6 linked regions of the Macaca mulatta genome follow. The protein of the gene in region 1 interacts with the protein of each later gene in a biochemical or structural test. Links are inferred from orthologs where the notes say so. Each region holds a gene or a part of one and is shown in the gene's direction. Other genes may lie near its edges. The genes, in order: NR2F1, SP1, GTF2B, BCL11A, BCL11B and AHR.

Evidence for each region.
Region 2: the proteins of NR2F1 (region 1) and SP1 form a complex in vitro, tested with the Homo sapiens proteins (2 studies listed by BioGRID). The link is inferred for Macaca mulatta from reciprocal best matches to the Homo sapiens genes NR2F1 and SP1.
Region 3: the proteins of NR2F1 (region 1) and GTF2B form a complex in vitro, tested with the Homo sapiens proteins (2 studies listed by BioGRID and IntAct). The link is inferred for Macaca mulatta from reciprocal best matches to the Homo sapiens genes NR2F1 and GTF2B.
Region 4: the proteins of NR2F1 (region 1) and BCL11A form a complex in vitro, tested with the Homo sapiens proteins (2 studies listed by BioGRID). The link is inferred for Macaca mulatta from reciprocal best matches to the Homo sapiens genes NR2F1 and BCL11A.
Region 5: the proteins of NR2F1 (region 1) and BCL11B form a complex in vitro, tested with the Homo sapiens proteins (2 studies listed by BioGRID). The link is inferred for Macaca mulatta from reciprocal best matches to the Homo sapiens genes NR2F1 and BCL11B.
Region 6: the proteins of NR2F1 (region 1) and AHR form a complex in vitro, tested with the Homo sapiens proteins (2 studies listed by BioGRID). The link is inferred for Macaca mulatta from reciprocal best matches to the Homo sapiens genes NR2F1 and AHR.

The regions. Positions count from the first base shown.
Region 1 is NC_133411.1:99,957,677-99,961,987, forward strand, and holds the start of NR2F1 (COUP transcription factor 1), read left to right. Parts: upstream 1-1,346; 5' UTR 1,347-3,155; coding exon 3,156-3,618; intron 3,619-4,311. UniProt on the Homo sapiens protein: Coup (chicken ovalbumin upstream promoter) transcription factor binds to the ovalbumin promoter and, in conjunction with another protein (S300-II) stimulates initiation of transcription. Binds to both direct repeats and palindromes of the 5'-AGGTCA-3' motif.
Region 2 is NC_133416.1:60,530,262-60,533,972, forward strand, and holds part of SP1 (transcription factor Sp1), read left to right. Parts: coding exon 1-377; intron 378-3,711. UniProt on the Homo sapiens protein: Transcription factor that can activate or repress transcription in response to physiological and pathological stimuli.
Region 3 is NC_133406.1:151,744,296-151,748,006, forward strand, and holds part of GTF2B (transcription initiation factor IIB), read left to right. Parts: intron 1-84; coding exon 85-231; intron 232-359; coding exon 360-489; intron 490-2,896; coding exon 2,897-3,178; intron 3,179-3,711. UniProt on the Homo sapiens protein: General transcription factor that plays a role in transcription initiation by RNA polymerase II (Pol II). Involved in the pre-initiation complex (PIC) formation and Pol II recruitment at promoter DNA.
Region 4 is NC_133418.1:64,327,998-64,331,708, forward strand, and holds part of BCL11A (BCL11 transcription factor A), read left to right. Parts: intron 1-3,420; coding exon 3,421-3,711. UniProt on the Homo sapiens protein: Transcription factor. Associated with the BAF SWI/SNF chromatin remodeling complex. Binds to the 5'-TGACCA-3' sequence motif in regulatory regions of target genes, including a distal promoter of the HBG1 hemoglobin subunit gamma-1 gene.
Region 5 is NC_133412.1:172,492,384-172,496,094, reverse strand, and holds part of BCL11B (B-cell lymphoma/leukemia 11B), read left to right. Parts: coding exon 1-1,703; 3' UTR 1,704-3,711. UniProt on the Homo sapiens protein: Key regulator of both differentiation and survival of T-lymphocytes during thymocyte development in mammals.
Region 6 is NC_133408.1:110,933,033-110,936,743, reverse strand, and holds part of AHR (aryl hydrocarbon receptor), read left to right. Parts: intron 1-2,351; coding exon 2,352-2,554; intron 2,555-3,338; coding exon 3,339-3,448; intron 3,449-3,711. UniProt on the Homo sapiens protein: Ligand-activated transcription factor that enables cells to adapt to changing conditions by sensing compounds from the environment, diet, microbiome and cellular metabolism, and which plays important roles in development, immunity and cancer.

The DNA.
Region 1 (4,311 bases):
CTCTCTCTCCTCTCTCTCCTCTCTCTCCTCTCTCTCCTCTCTCTCTCTTCTCTCTCTCTTCTCTCTCTCTCTCTCTCTCTCTCCCCGTCCCCTCTCATTCTCTCTCTCCTCTCTTCTCTCTCCCCTCTCTCTCCTCTCTCTCTCCTCTCTCAATGTCTCGCGCTCTCTCTCTCCTTTCGTCTCCTCTCTCTCCCTCCCCCTCCCCCTTTTCTCTCTCCCTCTCCGCCTCCCCCCCTCTCCATCTTCTCGTTTGTTTGCTCTTTTCCCGGGACTGATTTGGCCACACTAATCTCCCCCCACCCCGCAACAATATGGGGACTTACTACTGTTTTATTAATAATTATTGAAGCATTGTTGGAGTTTGGAACAGCCAGGTGATTTAAAAAAAAAAAAAAGAAGAAGAAGAAGAAGGAAAAACTGGATTGATTGGAAAGTTTATTTTTAAAATCGTCTTTGGGATAAATAGGAACCCTTGATTCCGATCGAATTTGTGGCAATAGCCGCAAATTCCAGGAGTGTGCTTTGTCGTCATTAAACCTTTTAAACCCAGGTATACTTTGGATCAAAAAATAGGGAGATCCTACCTTGTTTATAACAAGGATATAAAATGAGCAGAATCCAGACTTGGATTGTGCTTATATGTGAGAGAAGAAAACAATCCAAATCCAGTATATTTCACGAATCATTAAAATGGTGGGGGTTTCATTCCCGTTAAAATTTTTTCTAAACATTTTAAATGACACTCTCTTCACGCTCATAAAATCTAATTTTAAAAACTTTTCAGAAGAAATCAAAATAATTTCCTTCTAATTCTCCTTTTGCCCATCGCTAGGCGTTCTCCCCCCCTCGTCATCCCTTCCCCCTCTGGGGTGTATGCGTAAGTGTGTGTGTGTGTGTGTGTGTGTGTGTGTGTGTGTGACCATAGACGACCCATACTAATCAGGTCTCAGAGTAAATAGCAGCGCAGGGCGATCTCAATGTAAATTGCGCTTGTCAGAAACACACCCCCCTCCCTCACTTTCTCTCCTCCTCCCCACACCATCCCAGTCTGTAGGTAGCTAAGAGGGAGGGGGGAAAAAAAGAAAGAAAGCAGAAGAGGAGGGGGGAGGGGCTCTCCAACCAATGGCGTGCAGGAGGCTTGGCTAACCTTAGCCTCCCATTTTCTCTCCCCCCGATTCAGGGCTCTGACCAGTCAGTCGCCTTTGATTATCAGTTGCCAGCAGCCCTTCTCTTGGCTCCTTGACACGAGCTCCATATAAGGCAGCGATCTCCATAGAAACGTGTCAGTTTCAATAGTAGTGTCAAAGTTCACTATATACAGACATTCGCGCAGATCCCCCTTTCGGAAACATTGCTCTGCGAGTCCTCCCGTTTAAACGCATTCAATTTTTGGGTCTCTCTCTCTCTCTTCTCCTCTCTCTCTCTCTCTCTCTGTCTCTCTCTCTCTCTCTCCTCTCTTTCTCCCCCCTCTCTCTCCCTCCTCTCTTCTCTCTCCTCTCTTCTCTGAACCTCTCTTCTCTCTCCTTTCTCTTTTCTTACATATTCTACTAGTTGTTTTCCCCTTCTTCTCCTTCTTTCTCTCCTTTTTCTCCCTCCTCGTCTCTTTTACTCCATTCCTGCAGAAGAGAGAGGGCTAAACTTAAAGAAAAAAAAAGGAGGAGGAGGAGGAGGAGGAGGCACCCCCTTCGTATTCTTCTTATCGTTATTTTATACATATATGATTTTTTTTGGAGGGAGGGTGTTGGTTCCCGGCTGAAGAGCACTTATTTAAAATACTAAAAAAAGAACATTTTTGGGCGATCTCCAGGGTTTTTTTAACTAGCTCTGTGTGTTATAGCAGAAGAAGCAGAAGAAGGAGCAAGAAAGAGGAAAAGAAGAGGATTATTTATTCGACCTACTTTGGATGTCTCTCTCGCTTTTCCTTTTTCCTTTTTTTGGCAATTATTTTCTTCTGATTTTTATTTTTTCTATTTCGCTGTGAATTCGTCGCCGGCGTGAATTATCCCGTATTTTTTTCCCCCTTCCGTCACCTCCCGAAAGAAGAAGGCAGCTAGAGCCCGGCGCCACCGGCACAACAAAAAGAGCAAAGTGTGTGATCTTCCTCGCCGGCTGCCTCCCGCTCTCCAGCGCTGCCTTCCTGAATGGCTGGCTGCGTCCGGCCCTGGACCTGGCCCCCCGACACCCGCGCGCCCTGATCGCCGCCGGCAGCCTCGCCCAGCGCCCTGCTCGGCTCACCGCGCTCCCTGCACTCCCGAGCCCGGCGAGGGCTCCCGCCGGGACAGCAGCGGCGGCGGCGCGGGCGGCCCCGGCCTCCGCTCGCGCTCCGGCTGCGGCCCCGACTCCTGCTCGGACTCCGGCCCGGGCCCGGGCTCCTCCAGCGGCGCTCGCCGCAGCAGCTCCGGCGGCAGCTCCAGCGGCGCCTGCAGCCGCGACCTCCTCCTCCGCCGCCGCCGCCGCCGCCTCCGCCCTCGCCGGCTTCCTCTATGTCGGCTCAGCCAGCGCGCTGCGCGTAGCCCGAGCGGCCGGCGGGCGGGCGGGCGGGCGCCCGGCGCGGGTGAGCGAGTGTGTGTGCGAGTGTGTGTGTGCGCGGGGGTGCGGGCGAGGCGGAGGGCGAGTCTGTGCGCGCGCCGTGGCCCATGCCCGCCGCCCCCGGCGCTGCGCCCCGCGCCGCTCCCGGCTGCCGCCTGTGCCATTTCTGATTTTGCAACTTGGGGAAGAAGAAAAAAGCGAGAGAAGGGAGCTTGCTCGCCGGGGGGTGGGGAGGGGGGAAGGAGAGCGCGGCCCCCCCAGGAACGGAGCGCGGGGGGAGCGGGCGAGGGGAGCAGGGGTGTTGGGGGGGGAGCCTGAGAGCCTGGGGGGGCTGCAAAAAGAGAGAAAGAAAACAGCAGGAACCACAACAAAACGCCAGCAGGGCGGGCGGGCGCGCAGCAGCAGCGGGGCGGCCGAGGCAGTAGCGGCGGCAGCGGCGGCGGCGGCGGAGGCAGCGGCCGGTGCCCGGCTCGGGCTCGGCTCCTGCGACCCCGGGGCGCCCGGCGGGCCCCCCGCCCCCTCCCCCTCCCCCCTTCCCCTTCCCCTTCCCCTCCCAGCGCGCCGGCGCGCCCCGCGGCCCTCGGCGAGCAGCTCGGCTCCCCCCAGCGCTCCCCGGGCCCAAAGATATGGCAATGGTAGTTAGCAGCTGGCGAGATCCGCAGGACGACGTGGCCGGGGGCAACCCCGGCGGCCCCAACCCCGCAGCGCAGGCGGCCCGCGGCGGCGGCGGCGGCGCCGGCGAGCAGCAGCAGCAGGCGGGCTCGGGCGCGCCGCACACGCCGCAGACCCCGGGCCAGCCCGGAGCGCCCGCCACCCCCGGCACGGCGGGGGACAAGGGCCAGGGCCCGCCCGGTTCGGGCCAGAGCCAGCAGCACATCGAGTGCGTGGTGTGCGGGGACAAGTCGAGCGGCAAGCACTACGGCCAATTCACCTGCGAGGGCTGCAAAAGTTTCTTCAAGAGGAGCGTCCGCAGGAACTTAACTTACACATGCCGTGCCAACAGGAACTGTCCCATCGACCAGCACCACCGCAACCAGTGCCAATACTGCCGCCTCAAGAAGTGCCTCAAAGTGGGCATGAGGCGGGAAGGTGAATATTTCTTCTCTGCTTCTCTCCCCGCGCTTCGCCCGCCTCCCTGGCTCTTTCTTTCTTTCTCGCCCGGGTGGTTGCTGTGTGGGGCTGGGGCTCCTGTGGTCCCGGCCTGTCCCAGCTTCCCTTCTCCCCGCTGCCTTCCTCCCCCGGCGTCTCCCCCCGCCCTCCCCAGCTCACTGCCGCTGCCTCCCCCTCCCGGCCTGCGCTCCTCTCCCCGGCTCCCCCACCCCGCCCGCTGCCTGCTCAGGATTGTGTCCCTGAGATCGTGAGCTGTGGCTTAAAATCCCCCTTCTTCCCTCTGTCTTGGATGTGCTCGGTGTGTCTCTTTCCCGCGTGTGCGTGAGGCTGCTTGGGGCTGTGCTGGCATGAACTTGGGGAGGGGTGCTTATTTCCCCCAGAAAACTCTGTTTCTGTGTTTTTTTCATTACACTTTTCCCTCCACCTCTTCATACCCTTTATTTAAAATGGGGGAGGGTTGGGGTTGGAGTACCCTGAACCATAGATTCATTGCTGCCATCATCCTTTTGGAAGCTTAGCTTGGAAAAAGAGGAGTGAGATTTATTGCACTTGTAGGTCTAATTAGGGGGGAAGGGGGGCTTCTGGCCCGTTCACTGGTTCCCTCTCTTCTTCACGGAGCTGGGGCCGCCTCCTCCAGAGCTGTGGCCTTGTTTTCACCCCTCTACTTTGAAA
Region 2 (3,711 bases), on another chromosome or scaffold:
AACCCTCCAGAACCTCCAGCTTCAGGCTGTTCCAAACTCTGGTCCCATCATCATCCGGACACCAACAGTGGGGCCCAACGGACAGGTCAGTTGGCAGACTCTACAGCTGCAGAACCTCCAAGTTCAGAACCCACAAGCCCAGACAATCACCTTAGCCCCAATGCAGGGTGTTTCTTTGGGACAGACCAGCAGCAGCAGCACCACTCTTACACCCATTGCCTCAGCTGCTTCCATTCCTGCTGGCACAGTCACTGTGAATGCTGCTCAACTCTCCTCCATGCCAGGCCTCCAGACCATTAACCTCAGTGCATTGGGTACTTCAGGAATCCAGGTGCACCCAATTCAAGGCCTGCCGTTGGCTATAGCAAATGCTCCAGGTAAGCTTTCCGATCTTTTGCATTTATTGGGAACCAACCCTAGCATCTTAGCTGAAACTTGAGTCTAAATAAGGGAATAGAGCTTTTTGAGATAACACTTTCTTGAGGGCTAGTCATATAGGCAAATAAATTTGAGAAATAGAGATTCTGCTTAAGTAATTTGGAACTGAAGTAAAGGAAACTTCTCCAGTTAGTTTGATGAGAAAGGAGCACTTCTGGGCAATATTTTGGAGTCTGTGTACTACTCAGTGTTTTTGGTGCTGCAGAATAAGGGTTGACAAACTTTTTCTGTAAAGGGCCAGATAGTAAATATTTTAGGCTTTGTGGGCCTCATGTGGTCACGTTTTCTTTTCTGTTTTCTTTTTTTTTTTTTTTGAGATAGAGGCTTGCTCTGTTACCCAGGCTGGAGTGCAGTGATGCAGTCTCGGCTCACTGCAACCTCTGCCTCTCGGGTTCAAGCGATTCTCCTGCCTCAGCTTCTTGAGTAGCTGGGATTGCAGACAAACGCCACCATGCCCAGCTAATTTTTGTATTTGTAGTAGAGACGAGGTTTTGCTGTGTTGGCTAGGCTGGTCTCAAACTCCTGACCTCAGGTGATCCACCTGCCTCAGCCTCCCAAAGTGCTGGGATTACAGGTACGAGCCCCTGCGCCTAGCCACATTTTCTTTTTTGTATGTTTTTTTCCGCACCCTTTTAAAAATGTAAAACCATTTTTAGCTCTAAGGCCTTCTTTGGCCTGTAGGCCAACTCCTCCATAGGATAAAAATTGATTATGGGCCGGGCACGATGGCTCACTCCTGTAATTCAGGCACTTTGGGAAGACGAGGCAGGTGGATGGGTAGAGTTCAGGAGTTCAAGACCAGACTGGGCAACATGGCGAAACCCTGTCCAACAAAAAATACAAAAATTGGCCAGGCATGGTGGTACATGCCTATGGTCCCAGCTACTCGGGAGGCTAAGGCATGAGAATCGCTTGAATCCGGGAGGCAGAGGTTGCAGTGAGCCAAAATTGCACCACTGCACTCCAGCCTGGGCTACAGAGTGAGACTCTGAAAAAAAAAAACCAAAATGTAGTCGGGCGGCTGAGCACGGTGGCTCATGCCTGTAATCCCAGCACTTTGAGAGGCCGAGATGGGTCGATCACCTGAGGTCAGGAGTTCATGACCAGCATGGCCAACATGGCAAAACCCCTTCTCTACTAAAAATACAAACAATTAGCCGGGCATGGTGATGCGCACCTGTAGTCCCAGCCACTCAGGAAGCTGAGGCCAAGAATTACTTGAACCTGGGAGGCAGAGGCTACAGTGAGCTGAAATCACATCATTGCACTCCAGCCTGGTTGACAGAGCAAGACCCTGTCTCAGAAAATAAAAATAAAAAATTTGATTATGAGCTGGGTGCGGTGGCTCATACCTATAGTCCCAGCACTTTGGGAGGCCGAGGTGGACGGATCATGAAGTCAGGAGTTCAAGACCAGCCTGACCAATATGGTGAACCCCGTCTCTACTAAAAATACAAAAATTAGCCAGACGTGGTGGCACAAACCTGTAGTCCCAGCTACTTGGGAGGCTGAGGCAGGAGAATCTCTCCAACCTGGGAGGCAGAGGTTGCAGTAAGCCAAGATCGTGCCACTGCACTCCAGCCTGAGCGACAGAGCAAGACTCCATCTCCAAAAAAAAAAAAAAAAATTGATTATGAATTTTGCCCGTTTGTAGAACACAGATTATCATCAGATATTTCTTGTGAACTGTAACTCCTAATTGAAGGGAAAATGATCTAATGGGTTGCTTTTCAACAAAATAAGTTCCCTGGTTAGTATTAACCAGAATATCCCACACTGAGCATGCTGGTTAATCAGGGTTGAATTTTTTTTAACTCCTAGTTATCTTAAAAACAAAATCCCATAGCTTCCCTTCACACTAACATATGAGTGTCCTAGGTGATTCTGGTATTTCCTAGGTAGCAGTCTAACTTCCTAGTCTGCTTTGAAAGTACTGTGTATGGTTAGGAAGGGAGGAGAGAGAAAGGGAGTGGGGTAAGTTGGGGTCTGGAATGGAGTGGGGGATGTGGGATTGAGAAGAGTTAGGAATGAGGAGAGCATTGAAGGGAAAAATAATCTGGGAAGAATATTGAATCGGTTGACCATGGTGTTCAGGGTCTTTCATTTTGAACTAAATGTTTCACTATTAATTTGAAATTAAAACAGTAAGCAGGTGTAAGTCTATGTAGACCGTGTCTTTTTTTTTTTTTTCGTTTTTGAGACTGAGTCTTGCTCTGTTGCCCAGGCTGTAGTGGAGTGGTGCAATCTCTGCTCACTGCAACCTCCGCGTCGTGGGTTCCAGTGATTCTGCTGCCTCAGCCTCCCAAGTAGCTGGGATTACAGGCGCGAGCCACCATGCCTGCCTAATTTTTGTATGTTTAGTAGAGACGGGGTTTCACTGTGTTGGCCAGTCTGGTCTTGAACTCCTGACCTCAAGTGATCTGCCCGCCTCGGCCTCCCAAAGTGCTGGGATTATAGGTGTGAGCCACCACGACCTGCCTGACTGTAACATTTTAAATTCCGTTGTATGGAGCTGATCTTTAATAAAGCACAGTAAAAGGATATACACACATTTTTATATTCTGGCACAGTTATACAAATATGGAAAATAGTTCAATGTCACCAAATAATATCACGCAACTTCTAGTTCTTTCTTTTTTTTTTTTTTTCGTTTTCTTTTTTGGGATTGAGTCTTGCCTGTCTCCCAGGCTGGAGTGCAGTGGTATGATCTTGGCTCACTGCAACCTCTGCCTCCCGGGTTCAAGCAATTCTCCTGCCTCAGCCTCCCGAGTAGCTGGGGTTACAGGCGCACGCCACCATGCCTACTAATTTTTTGTATTTTTTTTAGTAGAGGTGGGGTTTCATCATGTTGGCCAGGCTGGTCCCGAACTCCTGACTTCGTGATCCACCTGCCTTGGCTTCCCAAAGTGCTGGGATTACAGGCGTGAGCCACCGCACCTGGCCACTTCTAGTTCTTTTGGCATATATATGTGGGTTTATAAATTGTTTACTTTTGTTACCAAGTTCTCATTCCATTTAGACTGATTCTTACATAAGTGAGGGTAACAAATAGGCGACCATATTTCCTGCCTCTTGCAGTTTTGGTAAATCTGGGGGGAAAGTCTGCTTGAGTTCCCTGATTTTCTTACATTTCTGTGGTGAGTTTAGAAATACTACGTGTTGGCCGGGCGCGGTGGCTCAAGCCTGTAATCCCAGCACTTTGGGAGGCCGAGACGGGCGGATCACGAGGTCAAAAGATCGAGACCATCCTGGCTAACACGGTGAAACCCCGTC
Region 3 (3,711 bases), on another chromosome or scaffold:
ATCTTGTAAGTTATATTTTCATAGAAAGTGTCCCATTATTCATACTTTCCAAAACGTTTTTTCATAGTTTTAACTGTTCTATAGGGTACAGGAGCTGCAAGTTTTGATGAATTTGGCAATTCTAAGTACCAGAATCGGAGAACAATGAGCAGTTCTGATCGGGCAATGATGAATGCATTCAAAGAAATCACTACCATGGCAGATAGAATCAATCTACCTCGAAATATAGTTGTAAGTTCTTGTCTACCTCCTTTAAGCCATTCTGGCATTGACTTTGCATAATTTAATGAACACATGAAATTTCGATATTGCAGCTAATTAAATGACATAGAGTTAAACTTAGTTTCTCTGCTTTGAAGGATCGAACGAATAATTTATTCAAGCAAGTATATGAACAGAAGAGCCTGAAGGGAAGAGCTAATGATGCTATAGCTTCTGCTTGTCTCTATATTGCCTGTAGACAAGAAGGGGTTCCTAGGACATTTAAAGGTAAGTTTTTACCTTTTTTTTTGTTGTTTTTTTGTTGTTGTGGTTGGTTGGTTGGTTGGTTGGTTGGTTTGTTGAGATGGAGTCTCACTCTGTCACCCAGGCTGGAGTGCGGTGGTGCGATCTTGGCTCACTGCAACCTCCGCCTCCCATGTTCAAGCTATACTCCTGCCTCAGCTTCCTGAGTAGCTAGGATTACAGGCACGTGCCACCACACCTGACTAACTTTTGTATTTTTAGTAGAGACGGGATTTCGCCATGTTGGCCAGGCTGGTCTCAAACTTCTAACCTTAGGTGATCTGCCCGCTTTGGCCTCCCAAAGTGCTAGAATTAACAGGCGTGAGCCACTGTGCCCAGCCTAAAATAGCATTTTCTACATCATATTAAAGAAACAGACCAATGTCAGGCAGCTTTGACACTTAGAAGCTAAGTCATCTTTATTGTCACTACAGTAATCCACTTGAGCATCATTTGCCAGTGTCTACTTATTTTGTTCCTTGACAGCAAATTCATAGAATGTTCTTTTAGGCTGTTTTCCCACGTAGACTCATTTTAGTCCATGTAAGCCCACTATGTTCTTTGCTAGTGAGATCTTTTGATGGACTGTTAAAATTTTGTGGGCTTTCAGGCCTGTAATGGTAAACCAAAGTAGGCCATTTACACATTTGGTTTACATGAAAACAGTTTCCATTTCTAGCACCAGTCTCTGTAGATGAGGGAGTCAGGCTTTAGAAAGTTATCAGTGAAGGCCAGATACGGTGAGTCACACCTGTAATCCCAGCAGTTTGGGAGGCCGAGGCGGATCACCTGAGGTCAGCAGTTCAAGACCAGCCTGGCCAATATGGTGAAACCCCGGCTCTACTAAAAATAGAAAAATTAGCCAGGCATGGCGGTGCACGCCTGTAGTCCCAGCTACTCGGGAGGCGGAGGTTGCAGTGAGCCAAGATTGCACCACTGCACTCCAGCCTGGGCGACAGAGCAAGACTTCATCTCAAAAATAAATTTAAAGAAAGCATCAGTGAAGTTTTTTCTCTTGAGGTGTATTGTTTGCATTTTTACACTTCAGTTGGAGGCTTTGAAAGAACTGGTATTTTTCATACAGTTTGCAGTTACATGGGAATATGTGACAGTTTGTTCAGTGTTGCTCACTGACTTACACTACCAAAGCTCAGGTTAGCTGAAGACTATACTTAACCCTTTATTCATCCAGTGAGTATTTATTTTTTATGTTTTCTTATGTAAAAGTGAAGAGGTGATGGCCTTTATCATCATCTTTTTTGTTGTTTTTATAATTAAAACAGAGCTTTTGTTAAATTTCTTCTGAAAGTGTATGGTGGTTGCATCTGGGAATAACAGGGTCAAATATTTTATCTCATCGAGCTATATAGCCCATAATTGCAGGGATTTTATGTACACATGACACTGTGTTGCCTAAGAGGCATCCTTTAGCTTGAGTATTTTCTTTCAGCTCCTTGATAACACTGCTTACAACAGGTTAATGTATAAATATCAATTTTTCATTTAAAGAAATTTACTTGCAATGAATTAATCCTTAGAGCAGTTAATATTTGGAAAGATTAAGACCTAAATTTAGCCAGGCACAGTGACTCACACCTGTAATCTCAGCACTTTGTGAGGCCGAGGCAGGTAGATCACGAGGTGAGGAGTTCAAGACCAGCCTGGCCAAGATGGTGAAACCCCATCTTTACTAAAAATACAAAAAATTAGCCAGGTGCGGTGGCAGGCGCCTGTAATCCCAGCTACTCAGGAGGCAGGAGAATCGTTTGAACCCGGGGAGCAGAGGTTGCAGTGAGCTGAGATGGCATCACTGCACTCCAGCCTGGACAACATAGTGAGACCTCATCTCAAAAAACAAACAAAAACCCTACATTTAAAGAGTGAAGAACATTAGGCCAGGCACAGTGGCTCACGCGTGTAATCTCAGCACTTTGGGAGGCCGATGCAGGAGGATCACCTGAGGTCAGGAGTTTTAGACAAGCCTGGCCAACATAGTGAAACCCTGTCTCTACTAAAAATACAAAAGTTAGCCAGGTATGGTGGTGCACGCCTGTAGTCTCAGCTACTCGGGAGGCCGAGGCAGGAGAATCACTTGAGCCCAGGAGGTGGAGGTTGCAGCGGGCTGAGATCGTGCCACTGCTGTTAGCCTGGGCAACAGAGTGAGACTCCGTCTTAAAAAAAAAAAAAAAAAAGTGTGATGAACATTAAAGTTAACTGAGAAATTTGCAGTTATCTCTGGGGGGGAGTATCACTGAGAGAATTAGGGTTTTATCTTTAAGGCATGATTGAATGTTTTACAATTAGAATGTATGTTTATAATTAGAAATGGTAGATTTTAAGATGAACTATATGGCTTAAGTGAATTGATTTATTTAATTTTTTTTTCTTTTAGAAATATGTGCCGTATCACGAATTTCTAAGAAAGAAATTGGTCGGTGTTTTAAACTTATTTTGAAAGCACTAGAAACCAGTGTGGATTTGATTACAACTGGGGACTTCATGTCCAGATTCTGTTCCAATCTTTGTCTTCCTAAACAAGTGCAGATGGCAGCTACCCATATAGCCCGTAAAGCTGTGGAATTGGACTTGGTTCCTGGGAGGAGCCCCATCTCTGTGGCAGCGGCAGCCATTTACATGGCCTCACAGGCATCAGCTGAAAAGAGGACCCAAAAAGGTAGGGTTCGTCATCAGGAAGTGTGGCAGTAAACTGTGAAATTCACAGCATGTGATTATTTTTCCATTTTAAGTTTGAACCAGGTAAATAGCAAGAACCCACATTTGGCCGGGCACAGGGACTCATGCCTGTAATCTCAGCACTTTGGAAGGCCAAGGCGGGTGGATCACCTAAGGTCAGGAGTTCGAGACCATTCTGATGAACGTGGTTGAAACCCCATCTCTACTAAAAATACAAAAATTAGCTGGGTGTGGTGGTGGGGCTTGTAATCCCAGCTACTTAGGAGGCTGAGGCAGGAGAATTGCTTGAACCTGGGAGGTGGAGGTTACAGTGAGCCGAGATTGTGCCATTGCACTCCAGCCTGGGCAACAGAGCAAGACTCCATCTCAAAAAAAGAAAAACCCACATTTAAGACATCGTTCCTCAACATCAAAATGTTAAGAAAAAATGTTTTGCTTTTAAATTGCTCATAAAAAAAAATGTTCAGAGACATAACCCTGTAAACCTAATATTTTTCCCATTTGAATTATTTT
Region 4 (3,711 bases), on another chromosome or scaffold:
TTAGTCATTACCCTCAGTAATTAATCACCCCTGGTAGTAATGAAAATTCACATTCATGTTGGACCTGATAGTTTACAGAGGGCTTTTATATACTTCTGTCATTTGAACCTCCCAACAATTCTTTACAGGTACTGTTTTTATGCTCATTTTACAGATAGGAATTCTAAGACTCAGAGAAATCAAATGACTATCCCAGAGTTACAAGCTGGTGAATAATAGAGCTAGGGCTCTAGTCTCAGGCCTCCTTGTTCTTCTGAATCTTGAGCCTTAGATCACATGACTTTTTCACATTGGTGACATACTAGAAATGGGGGTCATTCCTTCCTATAAAGTAAAATGAAATAAGATAAAAGTCAGTAGGTGGGCTAATAGCTGATTTTAACCCTTTTGGTGCCTCAAGTTCCTATGCTTAGGGGCCAGGTGTCAGTTTATTGCTCTAAATCAAAACAATCCCTGTAAATGCCCAATGAGGCTCTCAAATTGAGAAGTTGATTTTCATCAGAGTAAATGAAGAATATTATTATATTTTACACATCAATAAATCAATGTAGCCCTAATTTTGCCACACAGGAAATCAATTCTGGTCTTTCTAAATCATCAAAGATGTTATGAACAAAGTAATTTCACAAATTATGGCAAGTAACACATTTATTGATGACTGCAGTTTAGGAATTTAGAATCTGTGAGCACTGTAATATAATATGGTACACCGGCACGAGCTGAGTGAAATACAGATTATATGGTGAAATTGTAATGCATCATTTGCTATTAGTGGACTGGTAATAATTACCAGTTTCAAAGCAGCTCTCTCCATGTAATCTTTAGTCTCAATCGTAACAGCCCTTCTCATTGACATTATGATTACACTAGCTGCCCTCATGATCTAGAATATCTAGTTGATGGGAATACTAAAATGCGATAGTGAAAACTGTATGTTGTATGCTCATTATAAGATAAAATGCCATTTTCTCTGACCTGATGTATGAGAGAGAGGGAGGATAACATCACAGTGTTAACATACTGTAGCATGATCACATAACTAGCTCTGAAAAAAAGTTTAGGACGTTCAGGGCAGCAAAATAAAATGGACTTTTCTCATTTAAGCCTTTTTGAAAGGATACAAATGAGATCCTTGATGTAGTGCTGTATGCCACAGATTTTGGCATTTATCAATGACTACATTCATGGCACATGTGAAACCAGCACCACTAATTATGAGTCCAGTCCTGGATTTCTATCGATTTTTTTATAAGGTAAAATATAATTTTAAGGCATTTGGAGTGATGAACGTGTTAAGGACTTGCATTATCAGACAAATCTTTTTACTTGCCCAACTCAGATTGTCGGGCTACATGGGTATGATAGTCATGCAGAGACCTAGGGAGGACAAGGAGGAAGCCACAGAGGATCATGTAGTTGGAACCAGATAATTTTTTTTCCAGCCTATTTGGGACTCAAGTCATTGTTCAACAACAACAAAAAATTTATGAAAATGCTGTCAATGAAGCTTTTTATTTCCCTTTGAAGAGAGGAGGCAAACAAAAATAGGCAGATAATGTGATACTAATGTCAGCGTTTTCTTTCAAAATCTTTCTGCCTTTTTTCCCCCTTCCACATTAGACAAATGTTTGAAATCTAATTTTGGTATCTTACCATCTAATCTTGTTTAAGAGATTTACCCAGGAGTGGGATATATTGAGTGGGATTATAAATGCATTGTAAAGTAAATTACAAGGTCAGGGCAGGAGTCCATTATTGAGACAAGTGCTTGAGCAAGGCTGGCTTGTTTTGGAATACCAGTGTTTGGGGGCTCCTGAGAAGACCCTGCCAGCTTTTCTTTCTGACTTGCTAAATGGAGGCATCATATAATTGATTAATTCCTCATTCTCACTATTAACCTCCCTGGTAGATTTTTATTTTTTTTCCCTTCTTAGAAAGTTAACTGACAAATACTAGCTGTGGCCTTAAGGAACTCTTGTAGCCTTTCTTTTAAAAGAAGGAGAAAAGTTTGTTATTTCTCAGTTGTATTTTAAGGTTTTTTTCAGAATCCATGGGAAGTTTTCTGTTTTTCTCATCCTTGTCCTTTGGCTACCATTACTTCTGCCCTTTTTAATGTTGTACTTGACTAGTAAACTGTTGGTTAGTTATTCCATATATATATATATTTAATTTAGCTATCTCCCCATATATATTTAATTTAGCCATCTCCCCAAATGAAAGATTTTGTGAAGTCAAGCTGGCCCTTCTTTGCCAAAGTGGCATTTACCACTCTTGGGTTCTTTTCGGCAAGGGAAATAATGTGACTTAAGCAGGGCCCCTCTCCAGACGGCTTGGCTACTGGCCAGAGTTGACTAGCTGAACTGTATCTTTCTGTTTCTTTCTCAACTGGAGCTGAGTCTCAGCCGAGGGCGCAGGATGTTGTATAATTTGGTTCACGTTGTTAGCCTCTCAAAATAATGAGGAGGAGGATAGTGTAGCATTTCTCAGCCTGCTGCCTGTCATGGTGCTGGCTGCTTTAACTGTTCCTTAAACTAGGATGCTGTGTCTGCTTAAGTCGGCACCAGCCACTCCTCCTAACTTTTCCAGACTTGCATTTGTCTGACTGGGGGACAACTCCTAAAGATTGGATACAGCCTATCCATTAGATCTGAATGAAGTTTTTCTTTCAGATTTTTAAACATTCTTTGAGATAAAAATGGGCGTTCCCATGGGGTGTTGTGGAACCAAAATTGGGACTCACTGATCCTCCCACAGTCTGGGATGTGAGAATGTTGCTAGTCTTTTTTCCATGGAAGTATTTTATGAGTACCCTCTCATTTTAACAATATCAACAATTAGTGTGTTTCAGACTAAGACTGAAAGCATCTCTAGGGCCATATAACATTGTAGTGAGTTGACCTTCTCCCCTTTTTTTGAATCTCTATGAAATGTTTGCCTATTTAGAAAGTTCACCTGCCACCCAGGGGGGAATAGAAAGCTGGGATTTAGGAAGCCAAAAAGTTTCCTTGGGTCACCTTGTCCAAGTTTCTCACTTAACAAAGAGGAAACAGAGGCACATGGAGATGAGATGGCTTGCCCCAAATTACAGCTGATGGGACTGGAAAGTTTAGAAGACATTTGTTTAGGTGCCTAGAATGTAGGGACCTTCATTCTCAAGCCAGAACTGGCCAGGATTTTTCTGCTTTGGGGACTGGATATCAAATTCCTAGAACTGAGTTTAATGGCAGGAAGACTGATTGGACCAATATTTACTGGGTACCCATGCTCAGACGTGCCAGGCACAGGAGTAGGTCAGTGAGGGTTTAGGGCTTGGGGTTGAGGGGTGGGGGCAGGGAAGGCTGGAGGTGGAACATAAATAAGCAATTGCTGATGCCCGCCTCAGTGATTAAACATTGATGTTGGTGTTGTATTATTTTGCAGGTAAAGATGAGCCCAGCAGCTACACATGTACAACTTGCAAACAGCCATTCACCAGTGCATGGTTTCTCTTGCAACACGCACAGAACACTCATGGATTAAGAATCTACTTAGAAAGCGAACACGGAAGTCCCCTGACCCCGCGGGTTGGTATCCCTTCAGGACTAGGTGCAGAATGTCCTTCCCAGCCACCTCTCCATGGGATTCATATTGCAGACAATAACCCCTTTAACCTGCTAAGAATACCAGGATCAGTATCGAGAGAGGCTTCCGGCCTGGCAGAAGGGCGCTTTC
Region 5 (3,711 bases), on another chromosome or scaffold:
ACCGCCTCAGTGCCGAGGAGATGGGGCTCGTTGCCCAGCACCCCAGTGCCTTCGACCGAGTCATGCGCCTGAACCCCATGGCCATCGACTCGCCCGCCATGGACTTCTCGCGGCGGCTCCGCGAGCTGGCGGGCAACAGCTCCACACCGCCGCCCGTGTCCCCGGGCCGCGGAAACCCTATGCACCGGCTCCTGAACCCCTTCCAGCCCAGCCCCAAGTCCCCGTTCCTGAGCACGCCGCCGCTGCCGCCCATGCCCCCTGGCGGCACGCCGCCCCCGCAGCCGCCGGCCAAGAGCAAGTCGTGCGAGTTCTGCGGCAAGACCTTCAAGTTCCAGAGCAATCTCATTGTGCACAGGCGCAGTCACACGGGCGAGAAGCCCTACAAGTGCCAGCTGTGCGACCACGCATGCTCGCAGGCCAGCAAGCTCAAGCGCCACATGAAGACGCACATGCACAAGGCCGGCTCGCTGGCTGGCCGCTCCGACGACGGGCTCTCGGCCGCCAGCTCCCCCGAGCCCGGCACAAGCGAGCTGGCGGGCGAGGGCCTCAAGGCGGCCGATGGCGACTTCCGCCACCATGAGAGCGACCCGTCGCTGGGCCACGAGCCGGAGGAGGAGGACGAGGAGGAGGAGGAGGAAGAGGAGGAGTTGCTGCTGGAGAACGAGAGCCGGCCCGAGTCGAGCTTCAGCATGGACTCGGAGCTGAGCCGCAACCGCGAGAACGGCGGTGGCGGGGTGGCCGGGGTCCCGGGCGCGGGGGGCGGCGCGGCCAAGGCACTGGCTGACGAGAAGGCCCTGGTGCTGGGCAAGGTCATGGAGAACGTGGGCCTGGGCGCACTGCCGCAGTATGGCGAGCTCTTGGCCGACAAGCAGAAGCGCGGCGCCTTCCTGAAGCGCGCGGCTGGCGGCGGGGACGCGGGCGACGACGACGACGCGGGCGGCTGCGGGGACACGGGCGCGGGCGGCGCGGTCAACGGGCGCGGGGGCGGCTTCGCGCCGGGCACCGAGCCTTTCCCTGGGCTTTTCCCGCGCAAGCCCGCGCCGCTGCCCAGCCCGGGGCTCAACAGCGCCGCCAAGCGCATCAAGGTGGAGAAGGACCTGGAGCTGCCGCCCGCCGCGCTCATCCCGTCCGAGAACGTGTACTCGCAGTGGCTGGTGGGCTACGCGGCGTCGCGGCACTTCATGAAGGACCCCTTCCTGGGCTTCACGGACGCACGACAGTCGCCCTTCGCCACGTCGTCTGAGCACTCGTCCGAGAACGGCAGCCTGCGCTTCTCCACGCCGCCCGGGGACCTGCTGGACGGCGGCCTCTCGGGCCGCAGTGGCACGGCCAGCGGAGGCAGCACCCCGCACCTGGGCGGCCCCGGCCCCGGGCGGCCCAGCTCCAAGGAGGGCCGCCGCAGCGACACGTGCGAGTACTGCGGCAAGGTGTTCAAGAACTGCAGCAACCTGACGGTGCACAGGCGGAGCCACACCGGCGAGCGGCCTTACAAGTGCGAGCTGTGCAACTACGCATGCGCGCAGAGCAGCAAGCTCACGCGCCACATGAAGACGCACGGGCAGATCGGCAAGGAGGTGTACCGCTGCGACATCTGCCAGATGCCCTTCAGCGTCTACAGCACCCTGGAGAAACACATGAAAAAGTGGCACGGCGAGCACTTGCTGACTAACGACGTCAAAATCGAGCAGGCCGAGAGGAGCTAAGCGCGCGGGCCCTGGCGCCCCGCACCTGTACAGTGGAACCGTTGCCAACCGAGAGAATGCTGACCTGACTTGCCTCCGTGTCACCGCCACCCCGCACCCCGCGTGTCCCCGGGGCCCAGGGGAGGCGGCACTCCAACCTAACCTGTGTCTGCGAAGTCCTATGGAAACCCGAGGGTTGATTAAGGCAGTACAAATTGTGGAGCCTTTTAACTGTGCAATAATTTCTGTATTTATTGGGTTTTGTAATTTTTTTGGCATGTGCAGGTACTTTTTATTATTATTTTTTCTGTTTGAATTCCTTTAAGAGATTTTGTTGGGTATCCATCCCTTTATTTTTTTTTTTAAACCCGGTAGTAGCCTGAGCAATGACTCGCAAGCAATGTTAGAGGGGAAGCATATCTTTTAAATTATAATTTGGGGGGAGGGGTGGTGCTGCTTTTTTGAAATTTAAGCTAAGCATGTGTAATTTCTTGTGAAGAAGCCAACACTCAAATGACTTTTAAAGTTGTTTACTTTTTCATTCCTTCCTCTTTTTTTTTGTCCTGAAATAAAAAGTGGCATGCAGTTTTTAAAAAATTTTTTTTATTTTTATTTTTGTTTTTGGGGTGGGGGATGTGGATGTACAGCGGATAACAATCTTTAAAGTCGTAGCACTTTGTTTCAGAGTTGGAATGGAGATGGAGCACTCATGTCGTCCCAAGTAAAGCGGCCTTTTGTGTGTTGATTTCAGCTTTCATATTACATAAGGGAAGCCTTGAGTGGTGGTGCTAGAAGAGGCACCCCACAGACTCAGCACCGCCAGAGAGGATTTTGGAGGGCTCCTCTGGGAAATGGCCCGACAGCATTCTCAGGTTGTGCATGACCAGCAGATACTATCATTTTCTTGGAATATTGGCGTGCCCTGGGGTGCCATGGCTGCTATTCGCTGTAGATTAGGCTACATAAAATGGGCTGAGGGGTACCTTTTTGGGGAGATGGGGTGGCCTGCAGTGACACAAAAAGGAAGAAACTAGCGGTGTTCTTTTAGGCGTTTTCTGGCTTGACGGCTTCTCTCTTTATCACCCCCACCACATAAATCTCAAATCCTATGTTGCTACAAGGGGTCATTGATCATTTCCCAAGCAGACGAATGCCCTAATGAATTGGAGTTAGTGTTCTCTCATTTAATGCACACTGATGATACTGTAGGGATGGGTGGGGTGGGATCTTCCAAATTTCTATTCTCTGTTACTGAAAAAGCACGGGAGGAGTTCCATCAGAAGGTGCCCAGCGCTACTTCCCAGGTTTTTTTTGTTTTGTTTTGTTTTCTATCTCATTAGGTTGGAAGGTACTAAACATTGAACTGTTAAGATTAGACATTTGAATTCTGTTGACCCGCACTTTAAAGCTTTTGTTTGCATTTAAATTAAATGGCTTCTAAACAAGAAATTGCAGCATATTCTTCTCTTTGGCCCAGAGGTGGGTTAAACTGTAAGGGACAGCTGAGATTGAGTGTCAGTGTTGCTAAGCGTGGCATTCACAATACTGGCACTATAAAGAACAAAATAAAATAATAATTTATAGGACAGTTTTTCTACTGCCATTCAATTTGATGTGAGTGCCTTGAAAACTGATCTTCCTATTTGAGTCTCTTGAGACAAATGCAAAACTTTTTTTTTGAAATGAAAAGACTTTTTAAAAAAGTAAAACAAGAAAAGTACATTCTTTAGAAACTAACAAAGCCACATTTACTTTAAGTAAAAAAAAAAAAAAAATTCTGGTTGAAGATAGAGGATATGAAATGCCATAAGACCCAATCAAATGAAGAAATAAACCCAGCACAACCTTGGACATCCATTAGCTGAATTATCCTCAGCCCCTTTTGTTTTTGGGACAACGCTGCTTAGATATGGAGTGGAGGTGATTTACTGCTGAATTAAAACTCAAGTGACACAAGTTACAAGTTGATATCGTTGAATGAAAAGCAAAACAAAAACAATTCAGGAACAACGGCTAATTTTTTCTAAAG
Region 6 (3,711 bases), on another chromosome or scaffold:
TTTAAGATAGGAGAGAATTATGTAGCCCTTTTTTAATAGGAGGATTTAATGCCTGCTAGACAGAAAAAGAATGGCCTTTCCATATGTCTCAAATAACTGCCACATAGAAAAATGATTGTATATTCGCAATTGTAGAATCATCATCTGATAGGAGACACTGTTTCTTGTTGCAAAGTCTGAACACCTGCATAGGAGTTTGCTGTAGGGAGCAGCCTAGGATTCCTCAGAGTGGACTTCTCTGTCTCTCATTGTATCCTTAGTTTGTGTCACCAAGTACAGGAGAAGAGAATACAGAGTATATTGTATACTTTTTGTGAATAACAAGGAATTTGAAACAGGTAATCAAATCTTAAATTAAGCATTACCAAGCAATGATTTTGGTTTATGTGTTTATTTCTGAAGAGGATTTTGCTGACTCAGAATTAGAATTGTGCTTTGAGGTAGTTTTCTCAGTGTTATTGCTCATGAACAATTAGTATGTAGAGTCATGTGCTGCATAATGATGCTTTGGTCAGTAACAGACCACGTATATGATGGTAGTCCCATGAGATCATAATGGAGCCAAAAAATCCCTATCACCTAACGATGTCATAGCATTACTCACATGTTGATGGTGATGCTGATGGAAGCAAACCTGTGTTGCCAGTCATATAAAAAGTATAGCACATACAATTATGTATGACACATAATACTTGAAAGTAATAAATCACTATGTATTTATGTATTTACTGTTAATCATTATTTTACTTTATTTTTTTATTTATTATACTTTTAATGATTTTATTTTAATCATTATTTTAGAATAAGGTTAACTGTAAAGCAGGCTCAGGCATGTCCTTCAGGAAATATTCCAAAAGAAGATCACAGGAGATGACAGCTCCATGCATGTTATTGCCCCTGCAGACCTTCCAGTGGGACAAGATGTAGAGGTGGAAGATAGGAACATTAATGATCCTCACACGGTGCAGACCTAAGCTAATGTGTGGGTTTATGTCTTAGGTTTTAACTCAAAAGTGTAAAATGTAAAAAAATTTTTTTTAAAATGGGAGAAAGCTTATAGTATAAGGATGTAAAGAAAGAAAATATTTTTGTGTAGCTGTACACTGTGTTTAAGTGTTATTACAAAAGAGTCAACAGTTAAAAGTGTCAAAGTTTATAAAGTAAAAAAGTTACAGTAAGTTGTGCTGGGATTACAGGCATGAGCCACTGCGCCCGGCCTAAAGGAAAATATTTTTTATAAATTCAGTGTAGCCTGAGTGTATAGTGTTTATAAACTCTAATAGTGTACAGTAACGTCTCAGGCCTTCACATTCACTCACCACTCACTCACTGACTAAACCAGAGTAACTTTCAGTCCTGCCTGCCTTATTTACAATAAGTACTCTTATACAGGTATACCATTTTTTATACTTTATTTTTACTGTGTATTTTCTATGTTTAGATACACAAATACTTACCGTGTTACAATTACTTAAAGTATTCAGTATGATACCATGCTGTACAGGTTTGTAGCCTAGAAACAAAAGGCTATACTGTATAGCTTAGATGTATAGTAAGGTATACTGTCTAGGTTTGTGTACCTACCCTCTGATGTTCACAGGATGACGAAATTGCCTAAGGACACATTTCATAGAACATGCCCCTTTTGTTAAGTGACATGTGACTGTATGTCTGAGGTGGAATACCTGTGTGCAAGAGGGTCTTTTCCTCCTTGCACTGCTATTATTTTGATGTCAGAACCATCCCTTGGACTGGTTGATACTGTTTTAACCAATTAAATATATCATGTTCATGTTTAAGTTGCCTTTGTTTTCCCTGTCTTCTAAATTTATTCCATATATTTACTCAGTAGAGCTCTGCATTCTTTATATGTTTTCATGATGATTCATTTTAGTGTTTTAATAAAATTATATTTTGTCTCTATAGAAAAGATTACTATGAACTATGCAATACGCTATGAGCTGCAATATAGTTCATGTATGCTTGAAAATGAATGTTTAGGGCTTTATTACCATTCAGGATATATTGATTGCCTGGTGTGCAAGGAGCTGTGCGAGGTGAAAATGATAGGGTAATGGCAAGCTTGGAAAATTATATAGGTATTCATGTTATGACCATTTAGGAACAAGGAGTGGTTCACTTATCCCTTTAGAATATTTCTCATATTACTCTTTGGGATAGTTTTAATGGGTGTCCCATGGAGACAGGAATGAAAGAAACTAACAGTTCTCAGCTTCAGGAATATTTATGGAATTATCAAGAACCCTAGAAGCAGCCATAATGGAGCCTTTTTAAAAGGAACTTTCATATTTTTAATTTTAATGAACTTTTTTTGTTGTTATTATTTTAAGGCAATGAATTTCCAAGGGAGGTTAAAGTATCTTCATGGACAGAAAAAGAAAGGGAAGGATGGATCAATACTTCCACCTCAGTTGGCTTTGTTTGCGATAGCTACTCCACTTCAGCCACCATCCATACTTGAAATCCGGACCAAAAATTTTATCTTTAGAACCAAACACAAACTAGACTTCACACCTATTGGTTGTGATGCCAAGTAAGTGAGACTTTTTCACTTTTATTCTGTCAGATGTACATTATGTTTCAGTAAGTCTCTCTTAGCATGTAAAACATACATTGTGGACTGTATGTAATATTGTTTATTATTAGATTGGCTATTAGCTTTTATTCTTTCAGTGTAGGCTTTTACAGTAAAAATAATTTCATCAGGCTCACAAATCATCTTTTTAATTTTTTGCAAGACTTGTCTCAGATGATGATGTTCTTATATATTAGTAAGGTTTGTTCTTCTGATGACATTTATGTTGGTTTGTTTTACGTTTTTAAATGGCACAAATGTTATTTGATTTCTAGCCCCAGAAGTTTCAGTAACTTTCAGAAAATTGTGAGCAAGAGTCCGATATTAAGCATTTATATCGTATCAAAACATATCAGTGCTTTTCTCCTTTCTAATGTGGGAATGCAGAGAGGTAATTTGAAAAACCTTCTTCCCTAAAAATAGATTATAAAAACGTTCCAGATTTATATTAAAGATTTTCTGTTACCCATACATCTGCTCTATTCAATTCAGTTTTAGCATACTAATTTCCGTGGTTTTATTCAGGAAAAGAAAATAGGCTGAAACTGAAATTTGCAATCATAAGCAAGGAAGAGCGGTTTACATAGATGTGTTTAATTTCATATCTACTTACTGATGTGAAATTCTAAATGTGAACTAAAACATTGCAGAAACTAGCGTAAAACCAATGAATTTATCTTTGTTATTTCATTTATGTTAAATCATAATTCATTCTTATTTTACCTTTTTAAATTTTAAACAGAGGAAGAATTGTTTTAGGATATACTGAAGCAGAACTGTGCACGAGAGGATCAGGGTATCAGTTTATTCATGCTGCTGATATGCTTTATTGTGCTGAGTCCCATATCCGGAGTAAGTTGTAGTTCCTTATGAACATGTCAGAAAAAAACAGCATACACTGTAGTACATGTTTCAAATTCTTATGTAATATAACCTGTTTAAGTAAACTATATAGATAAACTTCTACTTAGTAACTTATCATCATGATTAACCAGGGTTACACTCTTTGTTCATTAACTTGTCTACACCTGCCTCATAGAAATATTGTTGTTTAGTTATTAAAAAATAACCATTTGGCCCATGAAGTTTTGCTTGGGAATTTTTAAATTACATTG